Linked DNA regions of Drosophila melanogaster. The protein of the gene in region 2 purifies or fractionates together with the protein of the main gene of each other region. This does not show direct contact. Each region holds a gene or a part of one and is shown on either strand. Other genes may lie near its edges.

Region 1 (16,713 bases), on a different chromosome or scaffold from region 2:
ATCCAGACAGACAGCTCCTCCATCGCTGGGGGTCGTCAACGTCAGGGTTTCCCAGCTCAAGTACCCCCCCCACCCAGCCTCCACTCGCGATAATGTTGTCTTCTGGAATGGTTCATTTGCCTGATGGAATTCGTCGGCGATTTGCCACATTTACTGGCAAAATAGACACCATTCAAGGGAAATCTGCCCAGCGTGATCTGTTCATTATAAAGTGGAGAGAATGGGGGGAAACTGACATTCCGAACTCTAGGAATCTCATAGTATTTCAGATCATGAGGTTCTTCTGGCACACTTTTGCAGCAAAATAGTTTTAAGATATGTAGTATCTTTGAAATAGTCTATCTCTATAACTATCTCCTTCGATATCTTCATCAGTCTTCTTCAATCTAGTTGATTGAGTTGTTCCTGAAGATAGAAATTACAAGTATATCCAATTGACAGGTGCTGGAAGATCTCCTTTCGATGTGGATGTGGGCCAAAAGAGTCGACTAATTGACTGATTGAGTGTGTGAATGTCCAACTGACTGACTGCGCGATGGATTGATTGACATGCCAATCTATTGGCAACTTGACGCTCTGTTATTGTTTGCATTTAGCGGCGCTTTTCTCCACGCAATTTCCAGTTTATTTTTCTGGCTATACAAAAAAAATGAATGTATATGTATTCGGTTGAGAGTCTTCGTGTTGCAAAAGAGGGGGAACACTCTGGTGAAAGGGGGTCAGAGGGCTAAGGGAACCTGGGACAGAACCTGAAACTGCGTAGTTTTTACGTTCGAGTAAGTGCCCATGTATCCATTAACCCACAAAATACAAACTGGGTCTGCACTGCAAACAAAAAAAAGTGACTTGAAACGTAAATATATTTTCCACCATGCAACTTCGGACAATATTCTTTGTTGTAAACATACTTTTCAATTATTTTTTGAAAACTTTAATGATATTCATTCAATGACATTTTTTAGAACTAAGCTGTTGTGTACTTTACATTTGCTTCCCCAAGTGCTGATGACTTTTTCATTAATGGACACGCAGTTCAGGGCGTGAAAATGCGAGAATGTCAAAAATTTCACAATGGAATCTATTTAGCACAAGGCTTCCCTTTCCACACCTCCCCCCCTCTCATATGTCGTATGTATATTTTTCCTCGCACATTTTCCTCCTTGGCGAAGACAACAAGAAAAACCAATTATTGCAAATGAACTCGAGTGTGGTTCCGCAAAAATGTCAACATCTGATAAAGCCGCAACAAAAGCGAATTTCCGAGGACAGCCCTCCATGGGCGTCGCCTGCAAAGGGGAAAGGGTGAAGGGGGGATTAGGGAGGGGTGAGGTCAGGCGCTGCAGCCAAAGTGCAACAGCCGCAACGAACTCAACTTAAATGAACCGAACTTGGCGCAAAAAAAGGGCGACCCTTGTAAAAAAAAAAAAAAAAGAAGAAAAAAAGAAAAAAGGGGGGGAAACTCAAGGAGCCAGAGGGGGAGGGGGGTGAGAGCGCAGGAAGACAGACCCACTCACATTGGTAGCCACTCCATTGAGATCCTCGGGTATTTAGCAAAACGCTGACATTCATTTGCCGACTGAGCCACCATAATAAATGTATAATAATTTGTGCAGCAAAATAACCGAAGCAAATCAGCACATCAGGGATGTAACAGCAATTGCTGAAGGGGGTGGTATATATTGATTAAATCTACTACTTTTTTTTTTTGTGCGATCACCTGGACTTCTGAATGTGCTGCTACTGTGACACACAATGTTTCGCATTCGTGGCCCTTCCCGGCAGAAATCTGCCACACCCAAGGACCCAGATCCCTGGGTGCAATGTGAGCTGTATCCCTGAAACGGCAGTAAAGTCGCTTCATGGCTGCCCGCACATTGCACACATCGTAACAAATGTGGCTGTCGCTGCTCCTCCAGCTCGACGTGCCTCCTCCTTTCCCACTGCGAAAAAAGCACCCTTTTTCGCGAAAGTATTTCAAGGCGCAGATGATGTTGCAGCTCAAAGGGGCAGAGTTGCAGGGGCGTGGAGCCGCCGCCACCAAGTCGCGTTGCAGTCGAGGAACTTTGCATCAAAATTGATTTACGACCATTTCGGTATTTTTTTTTTATGCCTCTTCGAAGGGGGAGGAACACTGGGTAAAAGCTGAAAGTGCACTCAAAAAAAAAAAAATACAGATCCAACTTAAAGGTTATAATAACTAAATTATAACTTCTATTATTGAAATGTATATCATTCAGCTGTTATATGCCTGAAAGTCGAAGTATTTGTTAAAAAATGCCCGATAGCATGTCGAATTTCTCCCAGTGCATATATGTAGAGTCATAATTTCGTACAGCACATTTCATTTCAGCAAATGAAGAATGAACATTTGACAATTCAGCAGCACTTCTCAATATCGCTCGCCATGTGCGACACTTTCCCCCCTCCCCCCAAGTGTCCACTTAACCCCAGCAAACCAGTTGCCCAATAATCCGACTCCTATCGGTAAGGGGCCCCAGATTTATGCCCCAAAATGTTAATTACCCGTAACCGATCCCCGGCCGCACTGGCAACTCACGCACAAAACCAACCAATCTTCCATTGATGATAAGACAGGGTATTCTGTTGCACAAACAACTTCCCGAAATGAAAATAGGTCCGCTTTTGGATAGCTCTATTGAGATTTTACCGTTGACAAAGTCGCCACGATAACGCTTCGGTTTTAGTTTAGTACTTCACGCAGAAAGTGATTGGGAAAAAACAAACATCGTTAAATTTGTTTCGGGGAGGATGCATACAAATTTGTAGCTCGAAATTCAATTAAAGGGCCACCAGTAAAAAGATATTTATTCATAGGATGAGATATGCGAGTATGTAGGAATGGGGGATGGGGCAAATGCTGGCGGTTATGAGAGATGAAATGAAGTGTTATGCCGCCCATAATGAGACTGTGACCGATCCACTGGGATAGCCGGAATCCAATTTCCCAATTTCCCGAAACGGAAAGTGAATTTCCCATGAAGTGAACAGCATCATCAGCATTCAACAGGGAGTACCAACGTCCACTTAATCGTACTTGCAACTCATTAAAGTAATTCGATCGTTATGAAATTTGATTGATTGCACGATAAGGGAGTTATCTGTTGTAAAGTAACACTTTATTAAAGGGTTGCTGCTGATTGGTGGTGGTAAATATTTATAAGAACCTTTAATGTTGTATGATGGTAGAATTTAAGAAAATGCCAGATATTAGGCAAACATGAAAGACCACAAATATTTGCACACACACAATTGAGAAGGGTGAGGAAAATGCTTTGCCAGTTGTGGTAAGTGGAAAAGTTGAAAAGTTGCTCGGGCGGTGGGTGGTGGTAGACAGGCAAATAATTATGGCAACTGCAGTGCATATGCAACAGAGAGGGAAGCCTAATGAGACAGAGACGGGCGAGCGGTTGTCATCCAACAGCAGACTTTACAAATTAATCCAAAATGCAAGTTGTAGACGCGACAAAAGGAGCCAAACGCAAACAATAACAACAACAAATTATATTAAACGTGTGCTGAACACAGTGGCGTAGTTGGGGTTTTCTTAAGGGGCGCACCTTAGGTGCCAACTAAATGAATATTTCACTGTTTTCATATACCGATTTCGGAGGGGTTGCTGAAACCCCTTTAACCCCCTGGCACACGCCTATGGCTCCATGACTGTTGTTGTTTTTATTTTCAGTATTTGTTGCTATTTTTACACTGCGCTGCACCATCAGCCGTTGAAATTGTGACATTTTCCCTCACTACGCATATTTTCTGGTTGCAGCGGAAAATGGGGAAAATGGCTGGGGAAATGGAGTAGGCTGGCAGGAAAAGCGGTGAAAAGGGGCCGCGGATCGTGCGCATTGTGGACCGTCTCACACAAAGGACAGCGTCTGTTCGGCGGCTCTACAAAATAAATGTATTTTCAATTCCAAAGTGAACATTCAAGCTATGCGATTTGCATTTAAGTCATAAAAAACATTATGGGAAACTATAGGTAAAAGCTGTTTATTCATAGTTTTCTTAAAAATAAGTTTGCAAACTCTATGGCTTGTTTCTCAAGACTCAATTGATTTATCTTTAAAGATGGTTCGTTTGTAGGAACCTTTACTGTAGATATCAGTTTGTGTATCTAAAATGTGTGATTCCCCTGCTGTCTGCATCTCCATTTCTCATTTTCTCCCCCCTTCTCCCTACCCTTTCTCTTTCTCTGTCTCGACTTATGTTTGCTGCCGAGTGACGTCGTTGTGGCAGATTTCGCGGCAGCAATAGGAAAATTAAACAAAAATAAATGGCAGCAAAATGTTTGCAACATGCCACTGCAACAACATCAACAACAACAACAACAGCAGCAGGACCAGCAATTTGTTTACAAACAGGAGGAGACCACACAAAGGAAAAGTGACCATAAAATTGGTTCGAAATTGGTTCTGGGTATGCACAAAGTAATTGTCAAAAATAGGCGAGAATTGAAAAAAAACTTCAAAAGAAAAGTGCCCGAAAGTATGAATATATTTTTGCAGCAAATTGCTAGAATATATGCCAAAACCATTAAAAATTTAATATACATGTCGGAGAAAGGAAACTTTTGCTAGAGGAAATTGGAAAGTTACACGATGCATTTGGAAGTCAAAGGAAAATAATTACATGCTTATGCTTACTCTAAAGTACTATGTGAATATCATTCAGTTGATTTCTACAAATTGCGCATTAACTTGCAACGCTTTCATTCGAATTGAAATATCCCTATTAAATCAGTGGACTACAGTGAACCCTGGTTGGTGTGCCTCCATCTAGCGACTGGAGTTCAACGGAAGTGCAGTGAACTTTTATACAGTTATTGTGGCGGAACTTTGCTTTTGAGTTATCAGTTGGCAGCAGCTGCTGCCATTTCATTCCACTCCAATTCCAGCCGCAACCCAACCCATTCCATTCCATTCCTTCCCACTGTGGCTATTGTGCCCATACGGCCCACTGTGCACGGTGGGGCTGGGAAAGAGGTAACAGGCACAAATGTCATTTGCCTGGAGCTCGCTTTGTTTACGTGCTGCTTCTTCCGTCGTCGCTTCCGTTTGATTTGGCAGCTTTATGATATGGGGGCCCTAAAGGATTTTCACGCCTCCCAAAACAAAAGAAGCACTCTTCTTTGGCACTCGAAAACAAAACACTCAAAGCTCAGTGGCGTAGGCTGAGTTAGCTATAGAAGGGATCTTTAAGGACATCATATCAATTCATTCATAGTTATTTCTCTTTTATTTTTTATTTATCTTTATTTTGAGCTTTAATTTATATTAATTCCATTAGAGGTTTAAGTCAGGGGGGTTTTAGTACACCCTCTCTCTTTCCCAATCCCCCTTGTGCGACCAACTCTGATAAATAGCACCAACTGTTTTTAATTGCGTCAAATTGTTGAGTTCCCTTCGACGCACTTCGGACTCCCTTCCCCAGCGCCCATGTCCGCCGTGCCGTTGTTGTTGTTGTCTTTTTGTTTACACTCAATGGCCGCAATGTGGCGAAAAAATAAACACACACACTCGCACACGGGCACACACGCGGAGAAAACTCTTACGCACATGGCACGAAAATTGGAAAAGTGGGAAAAGGTGGGGGGAACGCCCAAAAACAAATGGGAAAGTGCAGCTGGACGGTTGGCAAGGGGGAGGGGGGGGTGCACAAAGCAGGGAAGTGACGCGACAATCTTACACTGAGAAAAAGTATTCCCAAGAACCCGAAAATTGAAATGTTTTTCGAAGCTCTACAACTCTTATATTCCCTAACCTAAACACAATATTTATTATACTTATACTTTTCATACCCTTCGAAGTTGCACATGTAAATTTTTTCATGTGTAGGGACACATATTTGAATATTTACCCAAGCAGGCATAGACTTCGTGTCGTCGTCAACAATGCAATGAGTTAACCCGCTCCTTTTCTCTGACGCCCTTAAACCATCCACTCAATTCCCCAAACTCCCCAATCTCACCCCATTCCATCCATCACATATCACCCAATTCCTTGGAGTACAAATAGTAAAATAGACCGGGAATTATGAAAATCCCTGGATGAGCGAACCTACTCCCAATTTTTATTGTTGCTGCATGGCATGAAATCCCCGAAGGCGAGGGTGCTTAAAATCGGGAGGAGCGATGTGCGTCCCCAGGGAGTAAAATAAACCCATCAACAGCAGTCAAATGTCGCCAACGATTCGGAAATTGCAGCAAAACAGAAGCATACACAACAAAAAAAAAAACTTAAAACTAACACTTAAAGCATAGAAAGGACTTAAAAAAAAAATACACCATGTTGCGAACAACATTTGGAATTAAAAACTCCCCCTCGATCGTAAAAAAGAAAAAATTCACATACCCTCAGATAAATGGTTAAATCACAATTGCTTTCAAATCAGTTGTAAAATTCGAACACTTCAATTTACTGGTAATAAAAAAGTAACAAAGGAAAAACCCACAAATAGATAGGACAGAACGCGACCCATTTTCTTTTGGCGTTTTACTTGTCTTTCAAGCATTTATTCAATGCAGCTCATAAAAAATCGACATATGCAATGAAAAATCGCATAAAATCTGAGAAAAGAACACACATGGTAGATGTAAAAGACAGAAGGAATTATCCACTATCAATTCATTCCCGATTTTTGTCATTGGACCTCTTGTAATAATCATCAAAATTCCATAAATTTAATCGCCTCATAAGTTCGAAATATTTTCCATGTCAGACGTGATCTTTTTTCGATTCGACCATCACAAAAAAGATGAAACTCTGACCTCAATTGCATTTTTTCACCATTTATTTATCACCGTGAAAATGTATCAATTTATTGCCAAGACAAATGTCATTTAATCAAAAAAAAAATGTCTAAGATGTTCTAGCATTTTATTTTTTTAATTTATTTTGGTATTATTTTACCGAAATAATCCTTGGGAAGCAATGCAAATTTAGATCGTATTCCCATCGCCCGCCTGTCAACGCTGACAGTATAATCTGTTGATCTATTATATCATTTCGACATTTTTCGAGTAGTTCCAACTCTTTTTACGATTTCCAATGTTTTGTCGTTGATTTTATGGGCACTTAATGTGCCATAAAAGTGGACAAGAGAGTGAGGGGTTCTTTTTTCGATTCCAATTGGGGGGAGTTGTCATCTGTTTGATTTTGGGCCCGATGTTTTTGGGCTGTTCGGTGCATTGACATTGAACACCTTTCGATATTCTCAGGCCTTTGTTTGCATTCGAGGGAGTCAAATGAGCAGTCAAATCAATCGCTGCAGTTGTTGTTTCTGCTGTTGTAGCTGTCATTACTGTGTAAACAAGTGACATCTGGTCATCCTCCCCCCTTTTTGATCCCCCCCTTTTGGATGAGTACACGCCTCTGTTTGCCTTCGGATAGGCAACCATCCACAGCCACCAATTGCAGATGCATCTACATACAAACGTGCGTGCCATTAGGTTTACACAGGGGGTCGAAACAATAGGAGATCAAATGTTATGTTTCAACAGGGAAATAAATCTCGAAAGGCCTTCAAGCTTCCACTATGCATACACTTGAAAACTAAGCAAGACCAATTATAATGAAGCCTTAAGCTAAACCTATTCAAGCTGCTATTATCTTGACCACTGCTGTACGACTTCATCTAGTCATTTGGCATCAATTGACGATTGTCTGGCCCAGTAAGCGCATCCACATCGACCAACTGCCACCAGCAGAAGCTGCATTCTGGCCAGGCACTTGGCCTTATCTACCAGATACAATCTGTGGCATTCCGCGCAAGAAAATTAAGCAATGAAAAGGGGCAACAGCAACAGCAATAGCAACAGTTGGAGCAACAACAATGCGGAGCATCAGAAATATTTAATTAAATGCTTAATTACGCTTGCCATGCCATAAATTCATCAAATGCAATTTAAGCCCGCGCACACGAACAGATGCAGATACTTTTGTATCTCCTGCGCTTCTCTACTTCACCCATAGCACATCGGTATCTGGTTTCCTTCTCTTCTGGCCTTTTCATTCATTGGAAAGTTCAACTGCAGTTGCAATTGGAGTTGGGCCATCATTTTACGCCGCTAATGCCTTAACTGGCATAAATCCCAGCCGCCTTTTTCCTCGCGTCCATCCTGGCGGCACTTTTAGATCATTAATCCGCGAAAGATCAACGGAAAAGCTGAAAATAAAAAGAGAACAGCGTTCGCGGAACGGCTTTTAAGATCCTCAAAAAGGGGTGTCCTATCTAGATCTCAACTTATGATAGGTCAAAGTTGAAACAGTAGCCATGGAGGTGGGCGAAACTGATACTCTTTTCTTCCAAGCTAATTTATTATAGGTACACCAAATTCTCGGTATTTCTCTTTGAGATTGCGCAATCCATTCAATTAGGTCTTCCTTCAATTGATGGGAAATGCATCTGATCATCTGCTTATCTGATCAGCTCCAATTAGTCATGATATATAGAGCAATATAGCAGCGAACCGTTGAACTTCACTGATTTGGCAATCCAATTCGATTGCCATTCGATGGCCGGGTAATCCATCAAACTGCCTGCTGATCCTATTAAACCAATCGCTGGGTAATCAAGGGTCAGGTCACCCAGCTCCATCGGCTCCATGGGGGGTTTCTTTATTTCTTTGAGGGAAGGGGCGTTGCAATTGACAAATTTCGAGCGATCGGAAAATGAAAACGAAATGCGAGCAATTACTTTCAATTGAAAATGTCAAACATTGTCTTGGCCCACAAGCACACACTGAGCGAAAACTATATTTTCAACAGCACTTGGATGCTTGGATACTTGGATATAGAGATGCAAACACACCGTCGGATATTTGTATACAAATCTATATCTAAAGTCAAGCACTTGAGGGCCAAACGCAAGCACCTTGGGCGGAAATGCGATAACCCTGAGCGGGCGGGGAAAAGACGGAAAGTCGGCAAGTCGAAAAGGCGGAAAAGCGGAAAATGGGAGCGCACATGTTGGGCGCTTTTAGATGATTTTTGGCTGGCTATCTGCTGTGGAAGGAAGTGGGTTGGGGGAAATGGGAAAATTGGAAAATTCGAAGATTGGGAAAGCCCCATCACTTACCGGATAACATGGGCGCCAAGGCAGTGTCCGTCGGCGGATGATGGTGTCCATTGAAGGAGTTGTTGTGCGACTCCTGTTGCTGTTGTTGTTGCTGCTGTTGGTCCTGTTTTAGGGCGGCCGATTTTCCGGGCACACAGCCACCAATGGGCTTCTTCGATTTCCACAGTTTCATCTTGAGTTTTCTTTTCTCCAACTTCTCCCCAAATGGGAAAACGCAGCGATCTCTACGATTTTTCAACACTCATGGCAAATTTGGCATTTTCACAAAAAAAAAACTGTATATTTAAAAAAAAAAAAAAGGTAAAGTAAATTTAAAAACGAATTCGGTTTCCAATCGATATCGGGAAATTCGAAAACAATTTGGAAATTCAACGGCTGCGGCGGCGACGGCGACTGCGATGCGACTGAACCTGACGATGCGCGCACGTCCGCGGAGCACGGCCAAAAGTTGCACAATGAGCGATCTTGCCGCCAGTACTAGAGGTGGTAGAATTAACGATGTAACATCGATAGTATCGATGTTGCAGAACATTTTTGTTAACTTTGATGTTGAATTTTGTTATTGAATCCTTTATTGCAAATGAGTTTATATTTTTAGATAAATTTGTAGATAATAGTTAATCGAAAGTTTTTGTATAACCCGTATTAAATGTGTGTATGTATATATATGAAAATAAATAAGTAATAATAAAATATATTTGTATGTTTTAATTTTCATATTTATTAATACGAATACGAATGCACACAAAAAGAACAGAAAGAGTAATATTTTTCGTTTATTTTTCGATAGTCAATGTTCTCGCCATAAAACATCGAAAACATCGACGGCGACGAGCATCGATGTTTTTCCAGCTCTAGCTCTAGCTGCGTGACTCACTCGCGAGGAGAAAAGGAAGAGAAAAAGGAGAGCGAGAGTGGTGCGTAAGCGGAGCGCTTTTTGGGGAGTTTTGGCTACTGGAGAAAGAGTTTTCTCTCGCTCTTACTCTCGTCCTCTCTCTGGCAGAAGAGTATCCCATTGGGGAGGCACTCAAATCACAGACCGCCACTCCAAAAGCGCCGTTATGAGCCCGCTGATGAGCCGCAGGCATGACAATCAGCTGCTTCTGTTAACCGTTAAGCGGTAGTCCGAAATGGTTAATGGTTTAGTGTGTTGGGGGAGGGGTGACTTGGGTTTTGGCCTGTGACGCCAAACGCCAAACAACGAACGCAGAAAAAAATGCTCCCAAAACGGGTGTCGCGAATTTGCTAATTAGTCACGAAAAGCGCGACGGCAACTGCTCGAAATGGTCAACAGAAACAGGACACAACAAAAACCGAAATGAAATGAACCAAATCGGCAGCACGCAACCAGTGAGCACATCTGCTGAAACCAACAGCTGGTATTAGCCATGCACTAAGCCAACTAGAAATGGTACAAACTTAAAAGGGCATTCAGGAAAGTTACATTTTGAAAGTTTAAAACATAAAAGCCAATTTTGATCTACAAAATTTTAAGTTCACCTCAATTTAACATCCGATTGTATGTTTTGCTCTTATTTATTTTACAATTGTATATTCGTTACACTGGAATGTTGTTTGCATAACATGTCAATGCTGCGATCAATCAGATTTTGGGCAAAGTAAATATTTCAGCGGGTGTTCCCAACGGATGCCCCCAAATCCTGACCCCGAGGGCGATGACATGAATACCGTTTTCCTCTTGTACACCTATTAATACATATTTATATGTGCCTTAAATCCGATTTAACTGCAAGTACAAATGTGGCCACCTTTTAGGTTAAAGCTGCGGATTTATGGGTGACTTGGTAAGGCCCATTCCGCCCCCAAAATATTTCACATACATATGTATGTATGTGCATACATACGTACATATAAATTTATTTTTATGCGATTCCCTCTTCCGTGTTAAATGCTCTCTTCCTTTCTATCTTTTTTTTTTTGGTGGCTCGAGGTTTAATGTCTTTAATGACCTCGACTAATGATCGAAGCTGATTGATTCAGCAGAAACGTCGAAGGCACTCTCCAAGTTTGTCTGCCTTATTTTTAGATCCCCAGCCTTATATGCCCCATTCCCCACTGCCCAACCCCGTACGAAAAATTTAATTCCCAGTCCAAGGTGTCACTGCTGCAGGCGGAGAAAGCAGGACGGAGAGACGCGGATTGACTGACGAGTGCCGAGAAAATCGGGGAAAACTAATGCGACACATGGGAAAAATGCTCGTTGAGCGCACAAATGAAAGCACTTTCCGTTGCCTACATTCAGGCTGAGAACTCAAATCGGAAAACCAGGAACTACAAAAATATACATATTTCACTCTACATATAGTAACTCTGTTTATTCCACTGTAACGGAATAACAACAACTGTTCGATGAGTTTTTGTCTTTCGCGCGCTTTCCGTCACTCACAGTATTTCTTTTCATTTTACAGTTATACTAGAGCTCTCTCACGAAGTATAAATTGGTTTACAGTTACGAACAAGAGAAATGGCACACCAAAAGTAATGTGCCATGTGAATGGATTGAATATATCATTGTAGTTTAGTATCACTAGATACAACAGTCCCTGCAATCCTTGCGAAATGATTTCGCCAAGCGTGTGTGCAGCATTATTTAGTGTGTTAGTGTTAAATAGCTATATCGCCCAAGTACAAAGTGAATTATCAGCAGCAGAAGTCGCTGGAGATCCGAGTGCTGCCCAGCTGCTGCCCAGTTCCTGTCGCAATGGGTTGAATGGCAGTAGCTCTGGCCCGGAAATCCGTCTGCCCTTTGTGGACATGATGGTGCGCCATGAGAAGCCACTCTTTGTGCTCCGCGAACCGGAAGAGGATCTACTTTTACTGCTCCATGGACACGAGATTTTTCAGCTGCACGTGGCCACTGGGGAGAGGCGTCTAGTGCCGCTTGGTTACTTGGCGGGCCAGGTCAGTGGTCGCAGAGCTCTCGGAGCAGAGGTTGTGGCCTGGCGGGAGTTCCTGCTCCTTGCCATCGTTCTGGATGATTCCATGGAGGTTTACCAGTTGCCCAAGGAACTGCTCCTATCCGAAGATCCAGCCACACAGGTGAGCTTTGAGCCCCTCCAGGAGTTCTCGCTGCCAGGTGCTTTTCTACAGCTGCACCTTTTGAAACCCAGTGGAGATCAGGTGCTCCTCCTAGTGGCCTCCAATCACACCAGATCACACAGCAAATGCAGGTTGGGATTGGCATACATTTTCAATTAAAAATTGATTCATTATTCATTCATAATATTGACGACTTCCTCACAGAACCTTTGAGTGGCTGGACACCTACTTTAATCCACTCGAGGAGATCACTCTACCCGCCATTCGCGTTCTCCAAGTGGTTGGTCGTCAGCCACTTTATATCATTTTTGGTCGTTCTTTAAAGGGTTCCCAGTCAAAGGTGATATAACTTTTAATAATTTAGATGGTTCTTAATTCATTTATGTTTCCCTCTAGCTGGTGCTCACAATCTACGAGCTGGATAGAAACAGCCGAATCCTGCAACAACGCCAGGCTTTGACAGTTCAGGCGCAAAGTGTCCAAGCTGTTAGATTTCACGGGAGGAACTGCCTCATCGCCTGTACTTCCTCTGCATCTGCCTCGTGTATTTTCTTCCGAATGGTGGATGGACAATTTGTGGTGTACCGAAAGCATGCTCGAAAAGATTTGAGTTTCCGTCGATTGAGTGCCACCAAAAAGGGTCACCTTTTGATTGGTGCCCGTGCCAATGGCGAGGTGATCGTCTTCAGCTCCACTCGCCTGGATTGCTATAGTGGATTTCAGGTGGCTGGAGAAGCGGATCCAAGTGGATTACTTATTCATAAAAACTTGCACAATGAGACCTTTCTTTTGCTGGCCTATCGAAGATCCTCGAGTGATCTGATCCGAACTGTGCAATTGGGTGGCGTGGAAGAAATCTCCAACCAAGTGGGCGCTGCTCCAGATGAAGGTACATTTAATATAACTCTGTAGTGGAAATTTGAAACTAGTGATTTTACAGATCTAAGTGTTGTCCAATTGCATCGTCACGAGTTTGAGGAGTCCATCAATGCCTTACGTGGCCTCCTGCTGCGCCGTCGTTCCTCTACAGAAAACCTGAGAAACATTGTGGACATCTTAAAACGCAAATCGGCCATCCACCTCGACACGCCACTGCATCTAGTGCAGCAAGGACAAATAGGAAGACTTCAGTTGGTGGACGAACATCTGCGCACGCCCACCCAATTAAAGCAACGCTTGGAGGAACTTCGTCAACGATTTAAAGCGATCCAGACCAGGCGAACCACACGCTCTTTTGGGACAGGAAACGAGAACGATGAGCCGGAGACACTCAAAGCGCGACGATTGCGCGTGGGCAATCTTATCTACAAGGGACAGCTAATTTCAGGCAAGTATGGGAATTCAGGAATAGAATATGATATAAATCTTTTTTTTCTTCCTAATTTACAGGCCACATTTTGGATAACTCAAAACCACCTATGTTGACCATCAGAAACAGTCCTTTGCAGACGAAAAAGCTTAGGGTAAATCAATTGGTTACTCCCCAAGATTTCCGCAACTCCAGTGGTGCCCAGATTGCGCCTGAGGAAACCAGTGGCAGTGAATGTGTAGTTCGTCATCTCCGAGTGGAACAGATAAACGGAGTGCAGTGGAACGACTTTTTGGACTCGCTCTTCCTGCGCAGTCGTGACACTTCGATAGAAGGACGCTTGGTTATGCAATCGCGAGTCCGGGTGAACAGTCTAAAGACACCTCTGCTCAACGGACTCGTGGTGGATCGTCTCTTTAATCTGCGGCGTGCCCAGGTGATCAGTTCGAATATCTACATGTCCGCCTTCTTTGCTCCGCGTTTGGAGGCTCAGCAAGTAAATGGACTTGACTTTGCCCACGATGTACTTCATCGCGGTAGCAATGATACATGGATAAAAAGTTAGTGTCCTCCTTGATATATTCCATTAAATCATTTAACAAATCCATATTTTTCAGCTCCTGTTCGCATCAATCAGATGAGTGTTTCGGGTGACATTTTTGTGGGCAATACGAGCAAGTGGCAGCCACAGCCCAGACAACTCGACGATCCAATGGAACAACGTCTTCAACAGTACTACACGGGCAGGGTAACCATCCGCGGATCCCTGACGGTCACAAATGTCCTGCGAGACACGGCAAACTCACTTATAGTGCTCGGAAACCAATCTCTCGCCAGAAAAGATATACAATCTACGTACCTTCTTGATCAGACGCCACAGGTTGAGATTCAACTTCATTTAATTCACTTTAATGACAATAGTCTTTCCGCAGAACCTCACTAACTTGACCTTTGGACATGCCAGAGTTAGTGTTCCCTCAATGACCACCAGTTATGTTGACGGTCATCCTGTGAGGGATCATCTCCTAAGCGGAGGACAGCAGAACCAACATACTCACCCAAATAACACTCTACACATTATCTTTATGAATGCAACCATACTGGGCGATGTTATTTGCAGGGATTACAGTTCCCGTTTGGCGGAGATCGCAAAAGATGCAGTGAGTCATGGAGACGCTGTTAATATCACGGGGCACAAACACTTCCAGGCACCTTTGACTGTTCAAGCACTTCAAGCCAATGAAATAAACGGAGTACCTGTTAGTGAAATAGTGGTGAAATCAAACACCACCCAAAACTTTACGGGTACAAAGACCTTTGCCCGTGTGGTGGTGGCGAATGATATCAACGTTCATGATCATTTGAATGTGAGTCATCTTAATGGATTGCCATTGCAACAGCTGCTTGGTCACGATATCAGCCTGCAACGCCTCGAACTAACCGAAACCCCACATCTGGAGAATCTTCATTTTCGGCGACTTAATGGATTGCCCTTCGATGAACTGCTGTCCAAAATTTCGGAAGATGGTGAACAGCCCCTACTTCTTCACAAGCAACTATTGATCGAAGGAAATGTACGATTTGACAAGGCTGTCCAAGTGCAGAACATTAATGGAATCCAATGGGACGAGTACCTAGATCGCCTGGTGAGATCTGATTCTAACGCGGAAATACGGGGTAAAAAGACATTCATGGCCGATGTCCAAATAAATGATGCCCTGCAAAGTCCTCACATCAATAATTTGGATCTAAGTTCCCTGCTCGACAACACCTTACTGCGAATGACACCCCAGCAAATCAGTGGTGCTTACACTTTCGACCGCATGATGGCCACCAATGTGGATGTAAATCGAATAAATGGGGTACCCAAGGAGGAATTTATAGACACACGCAAAGACTTAGAACTAAAAGGAGATCTTTACCTAAAGCAACTGAACATCAATGGCAGCCTAAAGTGTCCCTTTGTCAATGAGGCAGTTTTAAATGATCTCAAGCAACGAGTGGAGCAAGTGCAGCAACTTCCCTGGCGGAATTTGATAGTCACCGGCGATGCTCTATGGGATGGTGAAGAGCAGTCCCAATCCCAGCTAGACTACCTACGCCAGCATGCAGTCAGGAGAGTGGGCAACCAGACCATTGCCGGACACGTTCTACTGAAGGAACCCTACTTAAAGGATATCCAAAGTAAGCATTCCCTGCCAATTGATCTTAACTTCACTCAATTGGCCGAAGATGCCCTACTTCGCCGGAGCCCCACAAACGAAACCCAGGTGATAACAGCTCCGCAAGAGCTACAGGGATTAGTTAGAGCTAATACTCTACACTTGGAGCAGGATGCACACTTTGAGCTGGTAAACGGAATCGATATACGACGATTCAATGCCTCACTGTACCGCCTCTCCAGTGGAGAAGCCATTGCAGCGGATCTTCACTTTCATCAGGCTCCAAAAATAGGCAAACTTCAACTGGAGTATCCAGAAGTGAATGGAGCTCCGATACAAAGTATATACCAGCAGGGCAAGGGGCAATCCTGGCCACCCGTAACGTTCAAGAACCTCTTTGTCGAACAGGACCTGAATCTGAAAACCGTAAACAACATGAATCTGGACTACTTTCTACAACATCGCATTCCCTTAAAGGGAGACGCATTGGAGGTATTCGGTTCACTGACTTTTGAGCACCTTCAGCTGAGTGGAAAGCCTCTTCTACGTTCTATCAATGGCATTCAATTGGATAACTTGGTGTTTCGGCATAGCAATCGGACGCAGAGCATCACGGGTGCCAAGACTTTTCGTGGAGGAGTGGAGTTCACTGGACCCGGTCATGTGATGAATCTGAATGGACGTGAGCTTAGCGAAAGTTTCAGGGGCAGCATCTTTCGAAATAAGGACTACAACATCGATAGTCTAGTTCTGGACAAAGCTCTCTTCCCAGGTGGACTAGTTTTAGCAGGACTTCAAAGTCAAATTCCCAATCGAATGCGAGCGACGGAAGTGCAAAGCAATCCGTTAGAGGAGTTTCAAGAACTTCTAGCATTGGGTAATCAAACTTCGCCTAGGAGGCTACTTTACCTGGATCACGACACCGAAAGTCTGGAGTCTACTTGGGTAAAAGGCCCTTTTAGGGGATCTTCGGAACTGCAGGTGAGCCTGCCCTTGGGTTATTCTGCTCCATGTCAGCGTAGGACTTTACAAGCCAAGCTCCTGATCCACGAACGTCGCGTCCTCCTGGCCAACTCGAGTGTG
Region 2 (17,150 bases):
TAGGCATTATAAGCTCGCTGGCCAAAGGTCATACGATCTGTATGGGAAAGCAGAAGATGGGGAATCAAGGACCAAGGCGTCAGAATGCCCATTGCGTGATCTATATTATCAGCATAACCCATGGTGCCAATTGTGACCACTGGACAATTGAACCTCTTGCCGAACATCAGGAAGGCCTCATGGAAAAACTGCTCTATGATGACCAAGTCATAGTGATCATCTTTGCTCTCAATCAGCTTCTTCACTTTGGGATCCTTGAAAGCGTGCTCCGTGGTCATTAGTCCAATGGTCCACCAGAGCTCTAGGTTGTTGAAATCGCTAACAAACTGCATCGAAAATATGTTCTCCTTCGGAACTAAAATAATAAAAGTCATGTATTTAAATTTCATGCTATTTATATATGTATAATACTCACAGTGTTTGGGTATGTCAAAAGAGGGACTAATGATAATCTCCGTCAGATTTTCGTGGGGATGCTTGGTGGGATGGTTATTCACACTGGTCACATGATGTCCTTGACGCAGAAGATCGTTCTGGAAGTGCTCCAGCCAGAGCCAATGACTTGGAGCTGGAAATGGACCCATGAAGAGTATTCGGGAGCCAGCTCCAAATTCCAGCAGACCGATCAGGAAGATCAACATCCAACATTTCCACTGCAGCTGCATCTCCATCTGATTTGAAATCAACATGGACAATTAACAACATCAATTAAACAGTACGCCGAGTAGGGTAAAAAGTCGCGTTATTAGCGTCAAATTAACATTAGCTGCAGTTTATGTTCGGTGTTTGATTTCGTTATTTACATAAAGCACTTTACTTTGCACATTCTGATTGCAAATGATAGTGTTATTGATGAGATTTCTGGTTTGATGGATCGCAAGATCAGGTGGAAAATGAATATGCTGCACATGAAAGGGAAACTGCTACAATAGTATAATTAATTAAGCTCAACACTTTTATGAACACCTAACATACGGCCATATGTTTTTTGTTGGCTTGGCATAAATAAATATTAAATCTGTAACGCAACTAATATGGAATTCATATCTGATCTGGTCTTTTTCGCATTCAGCGACTTATACACTCAGTCCGTTAAATGAACACACCTCTCTGGCTTTCTGTCATAGAATTTAATCTGATTGAAATGCAGCACGGTAATTTCATCATTTTAAAATTAGCAATTAATATTGAAGTGGACCAGAAAGCTTGTTAGCTTACCCGCCTTATATGGTATGTCTCCCATTATACCATCATTAAGGTGTTAATTTCCAGACATCGTACAATTCCTGAACATCATGCAAGTTTTATAATGTTTACCCATTCCTAATCTTATTTTTCTTTTCGCTATCAGAAAGTGGGTCAAAATACGTAAACTATAAAAAGATTGTACGTGCTTACTCGACCTTAAGATAAATCAAATCGTCGAAATCAAATAAGGTTTAATTGGATTTAACGTTTCGTAATTTAATTACATTTAGCTTAAGTGTAACCATTTGCAATATTTATGGGATTTTGTTTAATTAAATATTTAATTTTATTGAACAGTTTAGCGCGTGTTATTTCCAGCCGGAATTTATTTGTATTTACGTTGACACACTGTAACAGAAAGCTGAACTGAAATACAAGTAAACATGCAACAAGTTGTCGTCATTGAGGCGAGCTGATAAATCGCATGTGGAAATAATTTTGTCATCACAGCCCGTATTTCGCATTGCATTTTACTGTTATACTTAAAAGCGAAATTCTATTTCCTTATATTAGCTACAGCTGAGAGCATTTTGTTGTTGTATGTAATTCCAACTGAAATGCAAGCTATGTAACTAAGTTTTTAGAGGCTTTGGTCAAGGTTGCAAATTATGGCATAATTGTTTATAATTTGTTCATTACGTGCCAACGCTAATTGTTTAAAGTTGGGGAATTTAAATTACTTAATTTTAATTATTTTGAGTGCTGGGATGGTGGATAGATCTTGTAACACTTGAAAAGACTTGATGGTTAAAAGGGTCAAAGCTAATGTTTTTTGAAAGTAAAACTTTTTGTGTGAGATGAATGTGAAAGTTTTGGTGATTATGAAATTGCTTTTTTTCCTTCTTTATTTTGCAAAAATTTCAACAAAATACACTTTATAATGCTTAACTAAGCCCTTTTACATTACCGGAATTAAAAAATGCAATGAAAACTGGTTACGATTTTTTTAATGACCTAATTAGTACAATTATAGCAATTTAAACTAACCTATTAATCTTTAATGATATTTTCTAGGTCGAAATAAATAAAATTGTGGAAATCCAGCTCTTGGAGCTGCAAACTTTTTTGGATTTATTATTCTCGATGGTTTGGAATTTCTGGTAATCAAATGCTTCCCAAAAATTGTTGTGTTATGCAAACACGTTTAAGCAAATCCAAAGGGATTTATTTAATTATTTAATATTATTATTGAGTAGAATCGTATCATTGAATAGAAAATTCAATTTCATATAATGAATATTTTATTGTATGATTTATTTTTAAGCACCTGAATTGTAGATTTCTTTATTTATTTTCGCTTTTCTAATGTCTGATTTATATTGCTTGTTTATTTATTAACCTTAAGTGTATTCAATTGCCTTTGTCTCACAGCAATAGCACCAGAAAATATTTGCACTTGGAATTAAACAAAATTAGCACGTTTCGAATTCAAAATGAATTTTAGCCCGAAACGCGACCGTTGGGCACCAAAGTGCGGTTATCACTAAACTCGGCGGCACAAAGCCCCGAACACCTCAACTTAATCAGCATTAGCCTCAGTCAAAGTCTCAGTCTCAGTCGACGCCAGCAGATGCAAAATGCATATACAAGCAAAAGCTTAGACGTATCTGTGGGATTCGAGTGTTAGTGCCGCCCTGGCACAGAGATACAAAAATACAAAGGCGAATCAACCGGCGACGCTCATTGTTTGCCCTAATCTTATTTGATTTTGATTGTCTCGTATGTGTGCTGGGATAATTACAATATTGATACAGTTGATTGCAAGTGTTGCCAAAATTATTATTACCTGTCAGTTTCCCTCCTTACACATACACAGATGCCCACTCACGTGTCGGTCGACAGATCAGCAATTGCAAACATATAATTTGTACTGCGAAATAGAATTGGCCAATTGGCCAATGAACTTTCGACAACGGAGTTAAAAAATTCATCAGAGTGCGAGTTTCAACAATAAACAAAAAACGAACAAGCCAAACAAGAATTGGGTCTTATCGACAAAACAAAGAAACCAATTTTAAAACATTGGTAATTTATTAAATCAATCATGAGCTTCTAAGGAGCATAGAAAGAAGTTTTCTGATATCAGGATACAGTGATCCCCCTATTTAGTTAAAACTAATAATGTAAACAAGAAAGAAATCGGTAAACTGCCAGAAATATATTATTGGATATATCCCTATATATCCCTATATAAAGACAAATGTTTTAAAAATAGTATCATTGAGACTATAAGAGCATTTTAGGTTCTGTAACTTATTGTTATCATTTGGCAACGATGAGCCATTCACATTCTTATCAACTAAGAATTTAATAAAAAAATAAATTACTAAAATATAAACCACTTCAGGATCTTGCAATAAATCACGACTTTCTATGTATCAGTTGCTTTCCCAGGGGATTTCCGTGGGCAATTACTAATCGCATTTCCTTGTTCGTCAGAATTAAAACAATGCCCATCGATTGAGTTCGCTAAAAACGTGTTTTATTTGCAAACGGAAAGGAAACCCGACATTTTTGATGGGTACATTACATGTATAACACGAATTTAATGCACTGTTATTTGTGCATTCACCTTGGAAGCGGTCAAGTTCACTTCACGATAAGTCATATCATTTAATGATAATTAATGTTTGTTGACTTTTTATGGTAAGCAAACAAATGGAGAGGAGAAATGCCAAGATAACACAAATGGCATAAAGCCCACTGAGAACATGCAACAAATTAAGAAAAAGAGGGGAATTAATATAAGGCAAGCTGAAAGAACTCAAAGTCGTCTAAAAAAAAGGGCATACAACACAAGAGGCCGAAACATTTCATTGAAAATTGGCACGCTTCATTGAAGCGAGTCACAAAAAGCTGAAACCACTCTCGAAAAGGGGCGAAAGGGGCGCAGGGCGTGGCTGGGCATGGGCGTGGGCGTTCACCCAAACCGGCGACGATGATGGACGACCATGCTCCAGGCGGAGTTTTGATGGCAACTCAAGACATGGCCAAGAACGGCACTTTTGATGCGAGCGATCGCCGGGAGAGGCCACCAAACCAAAAAGAAAATGTTCATTCATAAGATCGCAGTGGACATGCCACAATGAAAATGAATGGCCTGTAACAAAAATGTTGGCGGAAAAAAGCGAGAAGAAAATGGTGCTGGAGCAAACAGCTCATTAAATCAGCGGCAAATTAAATAAATCATTAAATATTTTTAATTCTGCAGAGGTAAGTTCTCAAACAAGCTTAAAGGGGCTTAGAGTCATTTAAAGAGATTTAATTGAATGATCGGGCATTACAGTCAATAATCAAGTTATTAGAAATATTTAGAAATACATTTTTATACTAGAAAATAAATCTATCTTCTTGCAACCCTTAGCGACAATATCAAATGATTCACTCTGAATCATTTACGAGGTGCAAACGACAAATTGCCTAAAACACCAAACCCCACATATAGGATTGCTGTGATCAATGGAACTGGACCATAAACGATTTCATACCCAAAGCCCAGCCCAAATGTAGTGTACTAAAATGGTATTAAAATACAGAGCACTATTTGTCAGTTTGCGCCAATTTAATGTTTACTTTGCACTTCACCCAACGGCCAAATTAGGGTAAATCAAACAAAGCCATAGAAGCGAGACCTTTGTATCTCATGCTAGCCATTAGTCTGCATCTATCTATGTATCTATCAATCAATTAAGGCAACGTGCGCTTTATCCAGGCGCGCTTTAGATAAAGACACCATCGAGCATAAAATGGGAACCAAAGCCCACGATGACACTGACAATTTCCACGGAACGATGGCCTTTCAATTCGATCGCGTTGCGTTGCGCGGGGCAATTAAAAATTTCACCCAAATAGCAAACGTTGCGCATGATTAGTCAACGAATTTGAGAAGTTCGATCCGAACCCGCATCGGGAAAAACTCGAATCCAACGAAATCAGCGGGTGGTCGAAGTGCCCACGAAGTGGCAGAAAATTGTAGGCTTGAAGGGAGAGAATCTTGTTTTGGCAGCTGTCAATGTGTCAATATTAATTTAATATGTCGAAAGCAGAATTCAGCACAATTTAAAATTGAGTTATAATGTGACAGACGAGATGGTCTCGCAATGCGTGGTACTCTAAGGGTTGTAAACAGAACTCAAGTGGTTGCGGATACTCGATGGTTCAGTGACCACCCCGCAATCTCAATTATTTGCTGTATTTCTGATGGGCTTTAACTCAAGCAATTTGTTAATGAGCAAATTACATGGTCACTGCATATAAATAGTTTCCTAGTTTCTTTACCTTAACACAACATAGCCTTTTGAACCAGAACACTAGACACGCCCTCAAAGTGATTCACTGCCGAAGGAACTCCCCTATTTCACAGGAATTTCCAGCATTTGGTTACATATAGGCAAACAACTATAAAAACTGTTCAGGCGTAAAAGGATGCACGGGCCTTTTGGAATGTACTTATGCTAGATGTACTTACCACTTCCTTTCGAGATAGCACTACCAGTGGCCACAAGGAAGGCCTCGATTGGAAATTCTTCATGGCTCACTTGCCTTCTTTACATATCTAATGGAGTAATTCATTAAAGTGGATTCGGAAATATTTAAAAATTGTCGTTAGAATATTAGTAATCTTTAAGATATATAAATTAACCATTTTTTCTGTATGCATTCTCCATCATCCAATATTCTTTCATAATAAACGCCCCGTTTTGGGTGATAGAACTTTGACCCATAACCCTTGCAGAGTTGCTCTTTATCTATTAGTGTTAAGATTAGTGTTATGATTATGATAGTCTATGCAAATACCCTGAAATATGGCTTTACCACTTGACAACACTGAATGCAAACAGCACGTGAACATTGAAGTTTTCCTGCCACAAACATAATACTTTCGGAAAACATTTGACTGCGTATCTGTCTCACTGGGGCTTTATCGTCGATTTTGTTTCGAATGTTTTTGGGTATTGCACACAAGGCATTTTCAGCATTTCTCGTTCTGTTTTCAACGGTGGTGCTCTTTGCTTCCCTGGAGCAATTAGTAAAAGTGCAGTTTTATGTGTTTATTTTTACATATGCCACAGCTGTGTGGCCTAACCTAGATCCACGTAGACGCTCTCGCCGGCACTCCTCCGGAACAATTTTCCCGAACACAAATTGTGCGTGATATGGAGTCGTTGCTGTCGCCGTTATCAGGAACAGCCCCTAAGGGTTTCCTTTCGCGCTGCAGTTGCTCTGCTCAGCCCTAAAAGGGGGCGAATAATAGAAGGCACACTGGGAAAAATTCGATATACCCCAAATCAAACAGTGTAAATTATTTTGAAATCAGCTTAAAATCAAAATAGAGCCCACAATTAAGGAGCCACTACCACTTATGCTTTCAACGTAATTATTTTAATTTGACAAATCATATCTTATTAAGACCGATTCAAAAAGTTAATCTTTCGTCAAAACGATTGACTTTTTTCGGTGCACTAGCTGGTTTAGGAGTTTCCCTAGGTGATTTTGTGTGATTTTATGCACTTAATTTATTAATGAGCTGACCACGGCGAATTCTTCATTCGCAGCGCCTGATTTATGTGGCATCTGCTGTCAGTAGGAATTTTTGAGAGCCGTCAGGGAGGTCGAATGATCGCTGGGTGCGGGTCGCCGTTTGCTGGTTCCTGGTGTCAAAGGGTTCATTAGCACGCCAAAAGGATATTTACACAACAGGGCAGACGGTGGGCATAACAACAAGCAGGGACCGTGTGACTTATGTAACTTAATAGGCTGATGAAAAATGGTAGAGATTTTTATCACTCGGCATCCAGAGACATCCAGAGAAAGGCAAACAACATGTGGCAGAGTCGAAGGCAAAGACGATGGCCCAGCCAAATTGAAGCCACATGTGTGGGTGCACCGAAAGAAAAATCACTGTCATAATTGGACTTATATCTAGTCTTTTATAAGCAATACAATATTTTTATTGTGTGAAAACCTTGGAAGAATAACTATGATTTAATATTTGGTTAAGTACATCATTTCCCTAAACTTTCTTCGACAATTTATACAATAATTGGACATTTTTTACCATGTATGGGACCCCTGCTATCCACAATGAAGATGAAGATCATCAGAGAGCAGCGTCCAAGCACCGCTAAACAAATTGAAAAATTTCAAGTCCTCAGCCTCTTGGCGCTCGCAATTGCTCAATCCGCGTATTTTCGCGTGCTGCACAGGAAAATGAAAATGAAAAGGAAAAGGGGGGAAAACGGGGAGAGCAACCAGCAATGAAAATGAGCAGCCGAACAACAGAGTGTCATCAGCGGTGTATCAGTGATGAGCACAGAGTCTTTCAAATTTGGAAAACGGGTGAATGGTTTTTCAGAGAATCATATAGTATAGAATTAATGATGCCAAAAATTGTGCGTGGTGTTCACTTTACCAGCAATGATTCACTTGTAGTACCAAGAATAAATGACACACAGAACCATATAGAGAGTAAGTTTTAAATTGTGTATAGTCCTGGAAAAAATTATATTGGTTATGAGTAAGTGAGTACCTCTTATATCTTATCTTATTCCAGGGCCAATTGTGTAGTAGTAAAAAGTTTACTATTTTATCATGACGACAATGCAAATTCGTTTTCTGCTGAAGAAATGCAAATAATTGTGAAAGCCATGCTTACTACATACTGAAACTTTAAGTGGTGTCTCTGACTAAAACGTACACTTACAATGGTGTCTTCTCTAAGATAACATCCTTAAATGAGTTTTTTATAAAGTCCTTAATGTTGATGATTCATTCCGATCAGCCAGTTGATTCCCAGACGTATCCCTTTCGCATCCCTTGGCTGCGCGAGCGGGCAGCTCATCACTGCTATCTAGATAGAGATACATATTGGGCCGCGTTCGCGTTTGCGTTCGCGCGTTCGCAGAGCGCACAAAAGTCACTCGCGGGTGCGCCATGGAGTGGTGGCACCAAATCGACATCGGAGGCATCGGCGGCCTTTCAGGGAACGGGAACCATGGGGTCTGGTCCGGGGCTCATTGGGCACTTCGAGCGAGCGCACTACTGCGTGCGGAATTTTCTTTCCTCTCGGCTCAGTCTGTGAGAAATCGTCGGCGTGTTCGGTTCGTTTGCTTATCGGAAAGCGGGAAATTCGGTTGGTTCTTGGCGCGGGTGGCGGCAATCGGAAAACGCCGAAAACTCTGACCGCACGCCCCTTCAGAGTTTTTCCAAACGTGAGTGGGCCAGTGGATATGTGTAAGAAATAGAAACTTAATTTATTTTTAAGTTTCTGGCTTTCCTCCCCATTTTTACGGTCGGCACTGTTCTGTCAAGAATTCCGGCTGAAAACTCATTGTGAATGAAAGCGTTTGTTGTTGTGCGTTTGGTAGATAAATCTTAAAATACGAAAAGATACAGAACTTTGCAAATTGACCGTGAATACCGCCCATTCTGATGATTCTGTGAAAATTGCCAAAGGGCTAAGTCAAACAAAGTCAGTGATCTCAACGGAAGTAAACGAAAACTGTGTGCAGAAGCAGCTAGGCAAAATATAAATCATTTAATTTTAAGGCATACAGAGTGTGAAAAATGAGGTGCTGAAATCGCGGACAGAAAGTCGAGAAAATGAATGAATCAAAATTGGGAAAATAAAAATAATTGCCGAAAACCCAATGTGAAAAACAGAAACTGTGTGCCAACTAAAAAAATATTTGAATTAAATTTAATTCAAATTAATAATCTTGAAAATGACATTCAAGAATCATTCAAGTATCAAAAAAAAGTTGAATAATAACTAAATATACCCAATCCCATAAGAAAAAAGTTTAAAATTATTTAAAATTTTCCTTTTGCTAAAAGATTGCCCAAAATTTAAACTGTACCCATTTGACTCCGCCCGTGGATATATGCACCAATAAAATTCATATTTGTGACATATGGTGCTGAAATCGCACCAGAGCACAACTCCATTCATCAATCGCAGTACTCGGCGATCATAAATCAGAGTGCCCGAAAAGAGTGTGACTAAATCAACGACTGCAACTGAGATGGAGTAGGAAAAGTCCGCACACCTTGGAGGTCTCTTGTTGAGTTAGGAAAGCGTACAAATCGGCGTGGGTAGCGACGCCTACCAATTTTCCAAATGAAAACGCCGTTTTCATGGCTTATCAAATCAATTTTTAGATTCGGTAAGAGCGGTATTTTGTTGGCCTTTTGTTTTCACAAAAGCTTGTGTGCCACCAATTTTTAATTGCCATAAAAAATATAAACTAGTATGAAAGAACTTTCCCAAAGTGCTTGTAGCGGCAGCTGGCAGATTCCGACTATCCGGTAGATACATTTATTAATTTTTATGTTAATGGGGAGAAAAAGTTTGGTCGGAAAGAGGGAACACGCGTCTGTCATAAAATGCACCCTGGCGATTGTCACTTTATTTTTTCGGTTTCGGTGTCGTCTGCAGCGGCAAGGCGTTTCAAATTGTATTTTGACTGCTGCGACGGGCTATAAAAGTATTCGGAACGACAAGAACTTGGGCGGTGCATATAAAAATTAACAAGCTGAATTAGCAGAGCGAACTTAACGAGAATGCAAGACACCACGACTGATATTCCTGGAGGCAGTATCTGTGCAATTGACCTCATGATGTCGAACCTGCCGCAGTTTCGTGCTGCAGTTTGCCTTGGGAAATAAATGCATAAACATAACAGAGTCTGGCGCAGTATTTTTAGATACCCCCGGCGTAAATAATTCATTTTCCAGTCACAGTTGTTGACGTTTCGGCGTCGCCCGAAGTTGACTTTTCCTCTGGGGACGTCTCCCTTCGAAATTACAAGTCCCTCTCGATTTGCATTCTAAACTTGAAAGAGTGCCTATTTTGGGCCTATGAACACTTCTCGGCTACCGTACCGAAACAAGGCCCATGAACTTTGACTGGTGTTGCAAAATTTTGAACTAGAAATTCCACTTCATATAAGACCAAATCCCTCGTATTGCTGGGAAAGAGCTTAAGCTGTCCGGCCACTTAAGGCCACTTTTTATGGGTGATCCCCCCACTCCGTCACCACCGAAAAAATACAATAAATTTTACTCAACTGTGCAGCAATTTCCACTGAAGTGGAGGAGCATAGTCGTGCCTCAGCTTGCTGCGGCAGCAACTCAATTAAGTCTCCATAAAGTATCTGTAGATACGCTAATCAATGGTATACATACGTAGCTTCATAAGTAACCCCAAAGCATCGGGGTCCCGGGTACTTGAATTTATTTGAGATTTGTTTGGCTTAAAATCTATGGCAATTAAAATAGCAAATGAATGACTCAAGTGGAAGCTGTATATAATAACCGAGGAATATAAAATCAAATTGAGCATAAAATCAATGAAAATAAACATGGCCGAGTCAGCGAATGAATTCATTAAATAACTGGATTGAAAAATTATTATAAAGTTTTAATGGAGTAGTGATAATCATTTTCCATTATATTATTAATAAATACCTAATGTTCAAATCTAGTAGATGTCATTTACCCAACTGACCAATTATAAATGCATAAAACGTGCCATATAAATACCAGTGAAAATTTAAATAAAAAGGAAAGCAAATGCGTAATGCCCATAAATCTATTTCCAATTACAGTGAAGTGAAGCAGTTGCCAAGAGAAATAACAAATAAACGACTAGTCGCATCAGTCGTCAGTGTCCAATGTGTTTATGATAAAACTCGAACGAAATTGAAACGTAATCGGGCGAAAGTTGGCTGCAAAGTGTGTGTTCAAAGGGGCGAGGAAGTAAAGAGGAGCAGACGCTTCAAAGGAAGCTAGTGCGACAGTCAGTCAGTCAGTCAGTCAGCCAGTCAGTCGGTGGCAACGTTCGAGGTGATTCCCCTTCCTGCATGACTTCTGTCAACGAAATGATATGCAGCATCTGTCTATGTGGCCAGCGGGCCAGGACGTGATGCTGTGCCGCTGTTAGAGAGGAAACCTCAATGTTCCGATGTCTCGATGCCCCCGATGATGCTATTTTTATGAGGCCCCCAGACTACGAAGACGACGACGGATGCGTGGCCCCATGAAAAATCAATTAACACGCAAAATTATTAAAGACGAAAAACAAAGACGAAAACGAACGAAGCGCGAGTGGTACTTGAGGTTCCGGATCTGTGAGTCCCAGTTCCCCATCCTCCAAACCGATCCGATCCGATCCGATCCGATCATCCTTTCCAGCAGCCGCACACCATCTTCGCGCGTTTATAACTTCAAAGCAGCTGCAACGGAATGTCGCGCCTCCGTGGATTAGGATTCGGATGGCTGTGGCTGGCATGGCTCGCCATATTGCAATTGCAAACTGTCGCAGCCATGAAAGGTGAGTTCGAAAAAACTAACTTTTTTAATAAAAACCAGGTAACCAGAAGCTGCGACACAGAACGTACAGTTAATTAAATGTTACGACAGTCAGGTAGCCAGAGATACGCGCCCCAGAACTTAATACCGCGCATAAACATGAGATTTATCATGGCAAATGATCAACGCACGATTTATGCTCATTACAAATATGGCCAGCCACGAATTGGCCGGAAAAAAAAAATAAAAATGCGGTCCAGAGAGGCAGAAGCAGCTGAAGCCAAATTGCATTTACTTTGGCTGCCATCGAAGCCGACATAAATAAAAGTCAAAATAAAGAGTTGCAAATGGTGCAGTGCCACATACATTTTGGTGTTACTCGCGTGCGCCATAGCGCAGATACAGTGGGCCAACTAAGCGGAATTTCGATTGAAAAGTACAGTACGAAACTTTAAAATATCAAAAATATTTTAAATAATTGGATTTACTATGATAGAGTAGAGGTTATATTTAATTTGTACTCTTTGTGGAAGATTTACTAGTATTTAAGGAATATTTTCAATGCCTTAGAGTTCGAGGAATTTAAGCTTATGTTTTGCCCTACACTTAAAGCGAAACAATCAGCTACGCAGCTATTCCCACGAGTATTTCACGGTGACCTGTTGAACTTTGAAAGATTTATGTCAATCCATTTCTCTGACTAATTCGACCAACTGGTCGCTGTCTGCTGTGGGCTTCCTTCCTGTTGCTATCTATCTCAGATATTTTTCTGTATAGCTATCCCCGCCGTTTGGCATTCGCAATGCTCCATGGCAACCCTGGCCGGCCCATAAAATCCAACTACTTAACTACAATGCGCCGCTGCAGTGCACTTAACGCATTTTTCACGCTTGACATTTGACTTGGGGCGCACTTTTCTCGTTGTCGTCGTCGTTTCTGCTTCTCTGCTGCCTTTTGTTGTTGCTGGCCCTGGGGAAACGCAGAGTATCCGAAGCTGAAAAACTCAAAGTATCTGTGCGGTGCACCGCCACAGCTATCCAAAGTCAGGCGTGCTCTTAATTTTCATTCTATCAGCACAGTCAGGAGACACACATGTACGAGATATATTTTGGTCTTGGCGTAAATGTGTTTTTAATGATATTTTTAGTTGGGATGTGACGTCACTTGGGGGCTAAGAAGCCAAACGTGAATCATTCGCGGCAGGCGCAAATTGTTTTCCTCGATTTTTTTAGTCTGCTTTTTCATTTTGTACACAATAATAAATAAGACCAAGGATATAATGCAAATATACTGTTTGAAATGGGTTATATCTACATTCGCTCACTAGCCCGTAGTTTCTGCGCTACTTATCAAATTTGTTTAAAAAAATTTGTGTATATTCTTTTAAATATACAGATTTCATTTTTTATGTGTACATTTAAATATATATTTTTATTTATACGTGAAATGTAAATCACTTACACGCGCAAAGCGCTGTGCCAAATTTAACATAGAACTGTGTGAATACAAATGTATCTACACGTTTGTATCCGTATTTGTATCTGGTTCGCGCCATCTGCCTAGCTGTGTGTCGCCTCTTGATTATTCATTTGCATTTGCAATATAAACATCAACACATGCCCAATGTTAACTGCAGGCGCAGTAAAAAGCGGTTGCCTGCATATAAAATACAATAATTTATTTTGGCGACAATGTGTGTTCTCCTTTTAGATCCCCCTGAGTCATGAGAAAATGTGTCTTTATGACTTGCCGATGCGGTGCTCAATTGTCGATAGTTGAAGCCTACCCATCGCAGATAATTGAGTAATTGAATTTTATGCGGCCCCAGAGTCTAATTATGCTGAAGGCCCTGGCGATAGCGACACATGTTCGCACATTGGAGATTATAAAACAAGGGAAGCGGCAGGGAAATGCCAACTCAATGGGGCTCTTCAGTGCGGTTTTTATTTGATTTAGATTGATCTCTTAAGCCATCCGAGGGCCATCAGAATGTGGACGCGATTGTGAATGGGGTGAGGAAACTATTTTAATGACTGCTTGGAAGATCACAGGAATTACTGCAATGATTATGGCCAGCTAAAAAATTTTAGAAGGCCTTTGGGGATTCCTTAGAATGAATATTTCGTAGAATAAAACTTAAATGGGTTTCATCTGTGGGAAATATCTAAGATACTACTTTTATAGTAAAGATTTAGCAAACTGAACAACATTTAATGTGTGGTGCTCTATTCAAGAGAAATCCTTATATGATCACCTCAATCTCTTAGCCAATAAAGCATATCTCTTGTGTGACCATCAATTTGCCTATTAACGTCCGTAAGCAGAACTCGCATCTCCATAAATATTAACTGCACACAGCCAACAAAAATCCACTCAAGATCACGTAATAAGCCCACAAATCACGAGCTCCACTAATAAACTCTGACATTATTAGTGAAATGAAAACTACGAAAAGGAAAAAATAATTTATAAATTGCCAATGTCAGATAAAGTTTTAATGAACAGCGACTTCGGCGGGCCACCAAAGGAGAATTAATTAAAGACCAAAACGAGAAGCGAAGCAACGACACGATCATAAAACCTATAGAAACCCGAATAGCTCCAAAGCTATGGGGACACCGAGCGACATATAACTCAAATAAAATAAACATTGGCCATAACATAAATATTCGCTGGCTACCTAGCCAGCTCCACCTCCGTGCTGCATAAAAGATAAACATAAATTTAGCATTTGATAGGGGAGTTGCATTTGATGTCGGGGGTTTTCCTATGCTTTTCCCGAGTGGGTGGAGAGGTGCCCGGCATCTGTGGCCATAAGTCTTGTGTCGTGTGCTCGCCTCTGAAGTTTTCCCCATTTTTGGACAGACTTTTCCTGATGATGTCTCATTTGTTGCCGCCCGACATTTGGAATGACTTCTGACGCTGATGCTGATGTTGATGCTGATGTTGAGGCTGCTCCGCTCCGACTGCACCACATTTTGTTGATGCAAATTGCATTTATTGTTGAGCATCCAACTTCCTGAAAAGGCATGTGTTTGGCGTCACAAAGGGGTGATTATTGCGCGCGAGATTAACAAGAAGAAAGCTAATTTTTGACAAGCATTTAGATCTTGCAATCGCCGATTTTCCACTTACAGTCAAATACTTAAGTATTGAGTTTGGTCAATGTTTGCCTTACAGATCGTATATCCAACTATAAAGGTACTTATTCTTTTTCAATTACAATATACAGATACAGAAACGAAGAATCTTCAAGTTTGTTGGAAATGTAAACATTATGCAGATTTTTAGGCCTTAAAAGCTTTCATGCCCCCATTCTATATCCGCAACAGCGGAGTTTTTGGAGGGTATTCAAATGTGCGGTGACGTATTCCGCGTCCATATTCCGTGTTATTGTTTGGCCAGCGATAAGACGCCTCCGCATCTTGGATCGCCTTTGTTTTGCGTTGAGGCACGCGCATCATCTGAAGATGAAAAAGTAGCATTTACAGCGCAGCCGAGCATTAATGTGGGTCAACTGCCTGGGCCCGCAGATGGGAAAGTGTTTTTCCTATGTTTTCCGCCGCTTTTAACGCCTGATTGCTGCTAATTGGCGTCAAAATGGTACGGCCAAAGAAGCATCCATAGTTGACCATTTGTTGCCCATTTCGCTTTGTGCCTGTTTATCCGGCAGTCTGGTGCTTGTCTGCCATTCGCATGCAACTGTTTCATGTTTATCCAACGATTTCTATGTGGGTTAGGTCAATATGTCGTTCCTAGCAGCAGCTTAAAACACACATAAACAAATGGCCAGCAAACATTTTCCATTTTCCCGCAGGGTGGTTAGAGAAATTCTTAAAATATTTATCGAGTCTCGCGCAAAGTTGAATTCCATGTTTTGACAAATGTTTGTTTCCGAAATAATTTATTGCACAAGCATACGACAGAATGTAGAAAATCATTAATCATGCAATTTTTACGAGGTGGGATTGACTCGAAAGTCAAACGAGAAATGGGAAATTATTCATACAACGTTCGAAGTTTGTCAGGTTCTTTGCTTTATTTTTTTTTTAGATACGAATGTTCCCGAGAAAGACACGTTCGACTCAAGCCCACAACTAATTACGCAAATCAAGATACAAAAGATGGCTCTCAATAGATAGCCTGATAAATGACTGACTGACTGACTGAGTGACCTCGACAGACATTGACTGACAGCCCGACAGCTGATGGCCTGATCTAAAACGATCCACCGATCTGGACAAATTTGTATACGGATTGCAATAGAACGCGGTTGCCAATCAAATTGGCGGCAGCTCTTGCAACATTATGTGCACTGGTCAGTGTATCTGTTTCCATCAGTTGCAAATGTATCCATATCTGTCATTTGAATTCAGTTTAAAGAATGTATAATTAGAAGAAATTTAAAAGAAACGTGAAACTTCTATATATTATAGGATATTCATAACTTAATCACCACAACCAGAATTCATAAGAAAGCGAACATTATTTAGAAGTATTAGAAGTATCTATAAATTAAGACAATTTCAACATTTTTAAACATCTTTCTAACACTTGTTGATTGAACAAAGAGCTGAATTTAACCCACAATATATCTTACTTATGCATGCAATTTTTTTTAATTATAAAAATATTTTTTTTGCGATCTCAATTTGCCCATACCCATGTCTATGTCTATCCTATCCACCCACAGTTTCCCTCTTCGGCGATGGCTACGTATCGATGCCGCTGCAGGAGGCCAAGATGTCAACGAACATCCGCGTCAAGTTTCGCACCAGGCAGGAGAACGCCTTCCTCTTCCTGGCCGCCGGACGGACCGACTACTGCCTGCTGCGCCTGGAGAGCGGTCTGATCAGTTTCAGCTATAAAATCGAACGGGATGTGGTGCAGGTGAGCCATCGATCGAGTCCCCTTACATATGAGCGCAATTACAGCGATTCCGGTTACAGCTGCGATCGCCCAAAAAGCAAAAGCTTAACGATTTGGAATGGCACGATGTGGCGGTGCAGAGGTTCGAGAATAATATCACCTTGCAGGTGGACGGATACATAATGCGCAAACAGCTTCCAGGCGATCTCGCCGCCCTCAATATCCACTTCGGGACATTTCTGGGAGGCGTGGGGGACTTTACGGCCGAGTTCTTGGATGATGTTATCGGCTTTCGGGGCTGTATATCAGATGTAAGTAGTAGAACTAGTTTTTGATTGATAATTGCTAATGCTGATATATTATAATTTTTGTAATATTTAAATAGGTCTTTTACAACAACATAAACATCATCAAACGCGCCAAGGATCGCACGAGTCACACCACCAGTACTGGAGTTGCCTGGACTTGCAGCACTGAGTTCGAAGGGTCCATTCAGGACAGCATTAGCTTCATGAGGAACGATTCGTATTCCTTGATGATGAAAGAATCGTATGCTATGGGAGAAACGTGGGTACCAGGGAATCAAATCTGCCTCTTTACGTATTAAATCTTTCACCTTTTCACAGCCTTTCCTTGCAATTCCGCACAATGGCCAGTGCTGGGGTTATTTTCTTCAACGGCGGCTATGATTTCATTCTCCTCGAAATAGAGGATCAGCACTT

Evidence for each region.
Region 1: the proteins of kon (region 2) and Grip purify together in Drosophila melanogaster (affinity purification with western blotting, with the first as the bait; 2 studies listed by BioGRID). This does not show direct contact.

The regions. Positions count from the first base shown.
Region 1 is NC_004354.4:5,959,124-5,975,836, reverse strand, and holds the start of Grip (glutamate receptor interacting protein), read right to left. Parts: upstream 9,559-16,713; 5' UTR 9,272-9,558; coding exon 9,100-9,271; intron 1-9,099. Other genes in the region: fs(1)M3 (female sterile (1) M3), read left to right, coding at 11,680-12,290, 12,364-12,499, 12,556-13,048, 13,100-13,486, 13,549-14,028, 14,086-14,348, 14,401-16,713.
Region 2 is NT_033779.5:18,495,144-18,512,293, reverse strand, and holds the start of kon (kon-tiki), read left to right. Parts: upstream 1-8,315; 5' UTR 8,316-8,481; intron 8,482-10,856; 5' UTR 10,857-11,493; coding exon 11,494-11,581; intron 11,582-16,252; coding exon 16,253-16,449; intron 16,450-16,508; coding exon 16,509-16,739; intron 16,740-16,813; coding exon 16,814-16,995; intron 16,996-17,054; coding exon 17,055-17,150. Other genes in the region: Ugt301D1 (UDP-glycosyltransferase family 301 member D1), read right to left, coding at 1-355, 416-671.